Linked DNA regions of Elephas maximus indicus. The protein of the gene in region 2 interacts with the protein of the main gene of each other region in a biochemical or structural test. Links are inferred from orthologs where the notes say so. Each region holds a gene or a part of one and is shown on either strand. Other genes may lie near its edges.

What was found.
Region 1: the proteins of RNF11 (region 2) and ZFYVE9 form a complex in vitro, tested with the Homo sapiens proteins (2 studies listed by BioGRID). The link is inferred for Elephas maximus indicus from reciprocal best matches to the Homo sapiens genes RNF11 and ZFYVE9.

What each region holds. Positions count from the first base shown.
Region 1 is NC_064821.1:95,222,362-95,226,106, forward strand, and holds the start of ZFYVE9 (zinc finger FYVE domain-containing protein 9), read left to right. Parts: upstream 1-961; 5' UTR 962-1,286; intron 1,287-3,745. UniProt on the Homo sapiens protein: Early endosomal protein that functions to recruit SMAD2/SMAD3 to intracellular membranes and to the TGF-beta receptor.
Region 2 is NC_064821.1:94,258,091-94,261,835, forward strand, and holds the start of RNF11 (RING finger protein 11), read left to right. Parts: upstream 1-756; 5' UTR 757-831; coding exon 832-954; intron 955-3,745. UniProt on the Homo sapiens protein: Essential component of a ubiquitin-editing protein complex, comprising also TNFAIP3, ITCH and TAX1BP1, that ensures the transient nature of inflammatory signaling pathways. Promotes the association of TNFAIP3 to RIPK1 after TNF stimulation.

The sequences.
Region 1 (3,745 bases), about 960 kb from region 2:
AGGGTCATAAAGCTAAGGCATGACAGAACTGGAAATAGTATCACGATTTGTCTGACACCAAAGTTCCTGTTCATTCTACTATACCACTCTGTGATAAAATACTGTATCCAGAAAATTTGGGGACCAGAGGATTTGGAGAATTTCTCTCCCTACTTCCCGTCTGACATCCTTTTTGTTTTTGGTTCTGACGTTTGCACCCTAGTGGTTAAGTGAGAGTGAATGTGGGTTACCTGTAAACCAAAGACTCCGCAGCTCCCACTAAAAAACAACTTCCTTCCTTTAGAGCCTTACCTAGGATTTGCAGGGGGTGGGATGTAAGGCTGGTTTTTCTTCGTTTTACTTCTAAGTTGTTTATGAATTTCAGGACAATACGTTGGGTATTCTCTTGCTTGACATTCCCCCCCCCTTTTTTTGTTTTTTCGGGGGATGGGGGCTAAAAGTTTGGCAACTGTAGGAAGATTCTGTTATGATGTGAACAGTAGAGCCCCCCAAAAGTTAAGGTCAAAGACAAGTCCCTCTGTTTTGGGAAAGGTGTGCATGTATGTGTGCGCGCGCGTGCGTGCGCGCATGTGTGTGTGTTTGAAAAATGGTTTGTTCTGGGTCACTCTTCTTTCACCCAAACACAGTGTTGGGATTTGAAGGGATCCCCTCGAGTCCTGCGAGATGAAAACGAGGAGATGCCCTCACACTCCTGCCCTCAGGTGCAGAACCGAGTGACAGGAACATTCACGCACCTTACCGAGAGAAAGAAAAGATGTTGGGGCCTGAGGACTAGGGGCGGTGGGGACCAAGGGGTTTCCGTTCCCCGGGAGGCGTCTCCCGGGGCGAGAGCTGCGCGAGGAGCGCGGGGCTCCAGTCTCCCCCAGGCCGTCCTCCCGCCCGCTCGCGCCCCGCGCGGCCTCCGCAGTCCCAGCGCCGTAGCCAGGCGTGGGGTCCAGGGGGCGCTGTGGCCCAGCGGCGCCGGCGGCGCAGGCAGCAGGAGCGGCCGCGACTACGCTGGAGGCTTCGCGGAGGATCCTCGCGCGCAGCGCCTCGCTCGTCCCACCGCAGCCTTGCGCCCCCGGCCCGGCTCAGCGACGCTCCTCCGGGATCCGCGTGGCTGCGGCGGCCCGAGAGCCCGATGCGGCTCGGCGGGCTCTGGGCCCCAGCAGCAGCGGCGGCCACAGCCCCTTCAGGAGTGGGAGGCTCCGCGGCGGCGCCTGGGGCCGCGCCGGTGCCCTCCGGAGGAGGCTGCCAGCTCAGGGACAACCCCCCCGGCCATGCTGAGGCGGCGGCCGCTGCTCGAGGTGAGTGCGGCGCGACGCGGGTCGGGCTCGTCAGCCTCCCGCTGCCCGCGGGGGCCCCGGCGACCGCCCTCGGGCCGGGCGGACCGGGCGTCCTACCGCTGCGGCCGCCTCCCCCATCCCGCGGTTCTGGGGCCTCAGCCCTTCCTCTCCCCCCGCGTTCCCTGGGAGGCTGGAGGCGCTGGGGCGGGGGGAGGGGGGCGACTAGGCCCCAAGCCGCCGAGAAGCCCCAGCCCCGGCCTCCGTTCCGGCGCGGCCAGGCGTGTGGGGCTGGGGGCGAGCGGGGGCGCGGGAGCCCTTTGGGTTTGCCTGGGCGCGGGGCGAGCGCAGCCTCTTACCCCGGGCCCTGTACGTACATCCCAGAGGGAGGCAGAGGACGGCTGTTTGCAAACAGCCTTGGCTGCTCGCTCCCCACACCGAGTCCCGCAACGTCCCGCGGGGGGGGGGGGGGGGGAGGGAAGGAGATGAGAATTGGGGTGCGGAGAGTGGGGGGCTCTGAGAGGCCCTGGTGCTCCTGGAGTGTCATTTCCGGATCTGACTTGCTTGAGAAAAACCCTTTGCGTCTTATTTGAGGTGAAATGTCATCACCTGCCGGTAGCTTATCCCTGCCTTCTTGTATTACATCTTGACTCTTGTAAGCGCGGTCTGCCTTGGAGAAAGCCCCATCCCAGCTTTTGCGATGTTGTTTCCTATATAAATACTCGGTAATTATAAAAATATCTCTTTTTACAAAGGTCTGTCTTTCTCCCCTTCCCAGAATAAGAAATTTTGTAATGTTTCAGTCCACGGTACAAAAATGTTCCACCATAATAGATCCAGAGAAAGGATAAACAAGAGGATTTTTCTAAAAATCATACTGTTATTAGAAAAAGTACTGATGAAAATGGAATACCATGTTAGAGCAAAAATGATCTGTTCTGGTATTAATGTAAAAAAAAGTTGATTACAGTTTGATACCATAAATCAGATATTTGGATGTTTATGGTTTATAATAAATACGGTTACAGGTTATTCTTGTCTTCCTGTTACGTGTGTGAAGCTTGTAGGATTAAGTCGGTGCTTTTAAAACTTATAACATGAAAAAATATTCTTAATGTGCAAAATTTAAAGAAAGGTACTTGTGGGCTTTCAAGGAATAAAAATTAATAATGGACGAGAAATCAGCCATAATCCCGCAGTTAGTACATTTTGAGGGTCATTCAAAGTTTAAAGTGGGCTTGTACTGATGGTGATTTTTAATTATGATTTCTGGGTATTAGGTTCAAAGTTAACTTACAGTTCTGTTTTACTGTTTAAAACCCAGCCATTTTGATAACACCTAAAAATGTTTTACTAAATTACACTGCAACCATGGTTGAATTCATCAAATAAAACTTGGATTAACACGGGTAACTACCTCAAAGACTCCTCATTTCTCGTGCAGCAGAAGGAGCTCCTGAAGTCTAGGGAGGTTCAGTGTGCTAAACAGATTTTGAGGACCTATTAAAAAAAAAAATTTTTTTTTACTGAGTTAGGTAATGTAGCCCTGTATTATTTTCGTAAAATTTTGTTTAAATATTTCTAACTGTAAAAAATTGGTTTGATTAAAATTTATATTCGTTAGTCGAACTTAGGTTTTAAAAAGTTTGATTCAATTCTCAGTGTGTTTCTGAAGACCTCCAACGTTAGCATCAGCTGAGAGTGTGTATTAAGATATGCGAATTCCTGGCCCTTGAATCAGAATTTCTAGGGACGATGGTAGCCCAAGGGTCTTCATTTTATCAAGCTTCCTGATTCTTAGTTCTACTAAACTTTGAGAGTCACTGATAATGGAGTTTAAAGTTAACTAGCCTTGTGGAGCTGAAACAACCATCTCTGTTTTCTAACAAAGCTATCAATTTTAAATGGCATTACATTCATTTCTTGTGACAACAGATAATGGTGCTATAATCTTAGAAAGAAAAATAACGATATTTTGAGGGACAGTTGATTTGATCAACAAACATTTATTGACGGCCTACTGTGGTAAATGTGGTGTTATAGAAAGACACTTGGTCACTTACCTTGGCAGTTAATCTCCCTGGACCTCAATGTCATTGCCTATGAAATGAAGATGGTTGTTATACTTATCTTGCAAGACTTTCAGGGTGAATACATCAAGTGATGTGTCTGAAAAAGTTTTGTAAACTGCAAAAGATTTTTTATAAATTTTTATCTATTAAGTGCTAGGTGCTGCCTTAGGTGTTCTGGGAAACACAATAATGACCAAGGGCTCTGCTAGCAATTAGGTAATTGTGGAAGCAGGACATGTTTAATTAACTGTTACAAGGCAGGGTCGGACAGGTGTTGTTAATTGAGTGGAACATGCTAGATCTCTATTTAAGGCTTCTATCCCTAATCTGGAAACCCTGGTGGCGTAGTCGTTAAGTGCTACAGCTGCTAACCAAGAGGTCGGCAGTTCAAGTCCTCCAGGCGCTCCTTGG
Region 2 (3,745 bases):
AAGGATAAAGGGAGGCCATTTACATTTTAACCAAGGGAATGATCCATTTAGATATGCGTTTATAAATAGATCACTTGGCAGCTGAGGGTGTTGAGATTATCGGAATAGTGCACACGGCGGAGCTCAGCTGAGACAAACCGGGCGGAAGCACGGAGTGGAGAGGAGCGAGAGGCTGGAGAGGCTTCGAAGTCAGGTACCGAGCCAAACTGTCACAAAAATAAGCAGAAACTGACGCAGCCCCAGGAACAGCTGCTAGCGGGGAAGAGGAGGTTGGTCAACGCGCCGCGGGAGCCGCCCAGGCCTCCCGGCGCCGAGGGCGGGACCAGGGCACGCACAGCGGGATGACGCAGGGCCCAGGCCGGCCTTGTTCTGGCCGCCGCCGCCGCCGCGCTGAGGCGGAGTAGGATGAGGCCCGCGGTCGGGGCTTCGGCGTCGGCGGGGACAGCAGCAGCTGAGGCAGCAGCTGAGGCAGCCGTGACGGCCGCGCCCCCCCCTCCTGACCTGGATTAGGCCCAGCAGCTCCGTGGCCGCCGCCGCCCCGCGGGGGGGCGGGGTGGGGAAGTGCCCCGTCTCCCCGCCCCCCCCAACACCGCCTGGCAGGAGGCAACCGTCGCGACCCCAGTGGAGCCCGCGGCCCAGGCTTGAGCCCCCACCCCCGGGGGCTGGCATGAGCGGCCCCTCGGCGGCGCCGGGGGGCGGGGGAGCCGCTGCCGCCTGAGCTCCGGCCTGCCGCCCGACCCCACCTCGCCGACCGAGGCTGACCGCGGAGCGTGCAGACGGCCCCGCCACTCCTTTCTTCCTCCCCCAGATTACACACCCCAGCCCCGGAAGATGGGGAACTGTCTCAAATCCCCCACCTCGGATGACATCTCCCTGCTTCACGAGTCTCAGTCCGACCGGGCTAGCTTTGGTGAGGGGACGGAGCCGGATCAGGAGCCGCCGCCGCCATATCAGGTAGGGGAGGTTGTGTGTTCGAGAAAGCGGGGGGGGGAGGGGGGGAGGGGGGGGGAGGGGCGGGGGGCGAGGATCAGGCAGGTCTGGCCGAGATTTGAGGGGGCTTCAGGACCATCACTGCCCCTAGCCCCGGCTAGGCCTGGTTGGGGCTGTTTGCTATTCTGGGGCTGAGTCTTAAGGGTGATTGCCCTCCACTCCCAGAATAGGGGTGATCCTTCACCTCCCCTCTGGCACCGTGTAGGGGTGGTGCTCTCTGTCCTTGCGTTCTGGGAGCGAGTTTGCGGTCATATCCCTTTGGCAAGAGTCTGGTGATTAGTTTGTGAAGTTTTGGAGTGACATTATTTTCCTGCCTTTATGTCTGAATCCAAAAGTCGGAGTTGTGGGGTTGGGGGTAATTTCCTCATCGTACCGCCAGCTGGATTATGGGTTCTGGATAAGTAAGTGGTTACCTCCCACCAACTCCATTTGTATTTTCATGTGTGATCATCTTCCCCTCCCCCCTCCTACCCCCACCCCTCCTTCTGTCTGTGTTAATTGGATCTGGTGGGTGTTCATTTCTCCCTCTACTTGGGAGAGGATCTCCAACTGGTGATTTTAGTCCCAGCGACATTGAGTTACTTGTTTATATGTATGTATATATTTGTTGATTTTTTTTTAACCCCACCTCACTTTTGCTCCACCCCTATGACACACCTTATAAAATGTGCTGACTTAATAAAACTTGATTAGCTTCAGAACTTTGGAAACCTTTAAACCTGACTTGGGAAATACCTTCTGTTAGTTGTGATTCTCTCTGTATCAAAGGCTTTCTCCTAAATAGGTTTCATTGCGTTTTGTACAGCAACCTGCAGGCCCAGATGTGTTTACAGAGTTAATAAGAAACTAAAACAGGAAACTCAAAATAGAATATGCAGATGTTAATAATCCATCATACATATACACCCCTTTTCTTCTGCGTTTCCAATTTTAAATGATGTTGAATAAAAACTTTTTTCCCAGAAGGGCTTGAATATTTAGTCCTTAGTTTTTTCCTGAAGGGAGTTTAGTTTTTCTAACTGGGCGGTCTCCTTTGTTGTTTCATGTGGTGACATCATTATCTAGTGTTCTTTTTTCATTCCTGTGTAAACTTGTGTCTCATCACACAAGAAAAACCTGATCACATATGCTGGTTTTCTGAGTAAAACCCTTCAGAGACCTTTCATATCTATCAATCAAGCCCAGTCTTATTGTGGCATACAGATTCCCCCATGACTTATCTCTCACATTCTGTATTCCAGGCCTGCCAAGTACACCAGGCTGTTCACACCTCTCTACCCCCGCCCCCCCCCCAAGGTCTGCCAGGTGAACATCTGATTCCCTTTGAGAACTCAGTTGTTAGGTCCACATATCTGAAGCTTTTCCTGATATTCCCCTACCTCTATCCCTGAATCCATCACTCTCATTTGTGTCCCCTTGTGCGCATCTGTAAGCACTACCTGTAACATTTTAGTGAATGTTCTTGTTTAGTTAGATGAATGTCACATCCTTGAGGAGTTCCCTCCTCCCCCAGTATAAGCTGCATGAAGGTAGACCGTGTGTCTTCCTGTTTGCTGCTGAATCCGCAGCGTCTGGCACATAGTATTCAGTAACTGGGATAAATGAATATACCCCTTGAGAACAGGAACTGTGACTCCAATATTTTGCACATTTTCTGCCACATAAGAAGCACTTAAATGTTGAATGAATTAATGAATTTAAATTCAGTATCATGTTTTCTACATTTACACACCCATTTCCCCAAAGAATTGTCACAGTGGTAATCTTTTAAAAATGCAGGCCACATCTGGACGTCTTTCCGAACAAATATCTTTTGAGTGAAGCAAGTAACCTGTGTTTATACTTGCCTTTGTCACCCCCCCATATATATGTTTGTGTGTGCATATATATATATGTAATTCATTTCCATTTCAGGAGAGACAGTTTTTTAGAGATGTGAACTTTTATTTCAGAGTTCCCCCTTTTGTGTTCTCTAGCCTGTTTCCAGGCAAGTTGAATGTCTTGACTTGTTGCCCTCTCTCCTATCCTTATGGTAATTACGGTATTAAGGAGTATTTCTTTAGAATTTATGGAAATAATATAGTATTTGCCCTAACCAGAAGGACTAGATGATAATGATGGTTTTTTGGTATCACAAAGGAACAGTTTTTGAAACATGTTATTTCTGACAGTGGGTATTTTCTTGTGGTTACCCTTTCCTGAAGTGAATGATATGCAAATTTAGTATCATTTGGAAGAAAATAATTACTTTAAAAGGTGGGAGCGTAAAAAGAGAAACTTGTGCAAAAAATGTCCCCCGAAGGAAATAATATTTCTTAGGAATGGTTAATTTACATGATCTAAGAAACACCAAATAAAATATTTTTGGTAAATGATTTATAATGTTTTCATTGGATCTAAGTAATGTATTTTTGTAAAAGAATTAGTATATAATTAACAGCTACAGGAATATAGGCTTATTTTTTAAGAAATTGTTAGCTGCAATGGGATTTTTTTTTTTTTTAGTAAAGAATAGCTGATTATAAAGAAACACATGTTGTTTTTCTGTAGTGAGTAGTTATGTAATAAGTAATTAAAGGATGTCTTTGGTGTTGTTTTTGTTGCACAATGTATGTATATGCCAAGAGCTCTGTAGGGTAAACTTTTCTAAGTTCCAGTTATTCCCTTTTAACAGTATCTGACAGATTTGTTTGACTGAAGTTATTCAAAACTGACTTTTCCCCTTAAAAAACCCTATACCATTATAAAGTTTGTA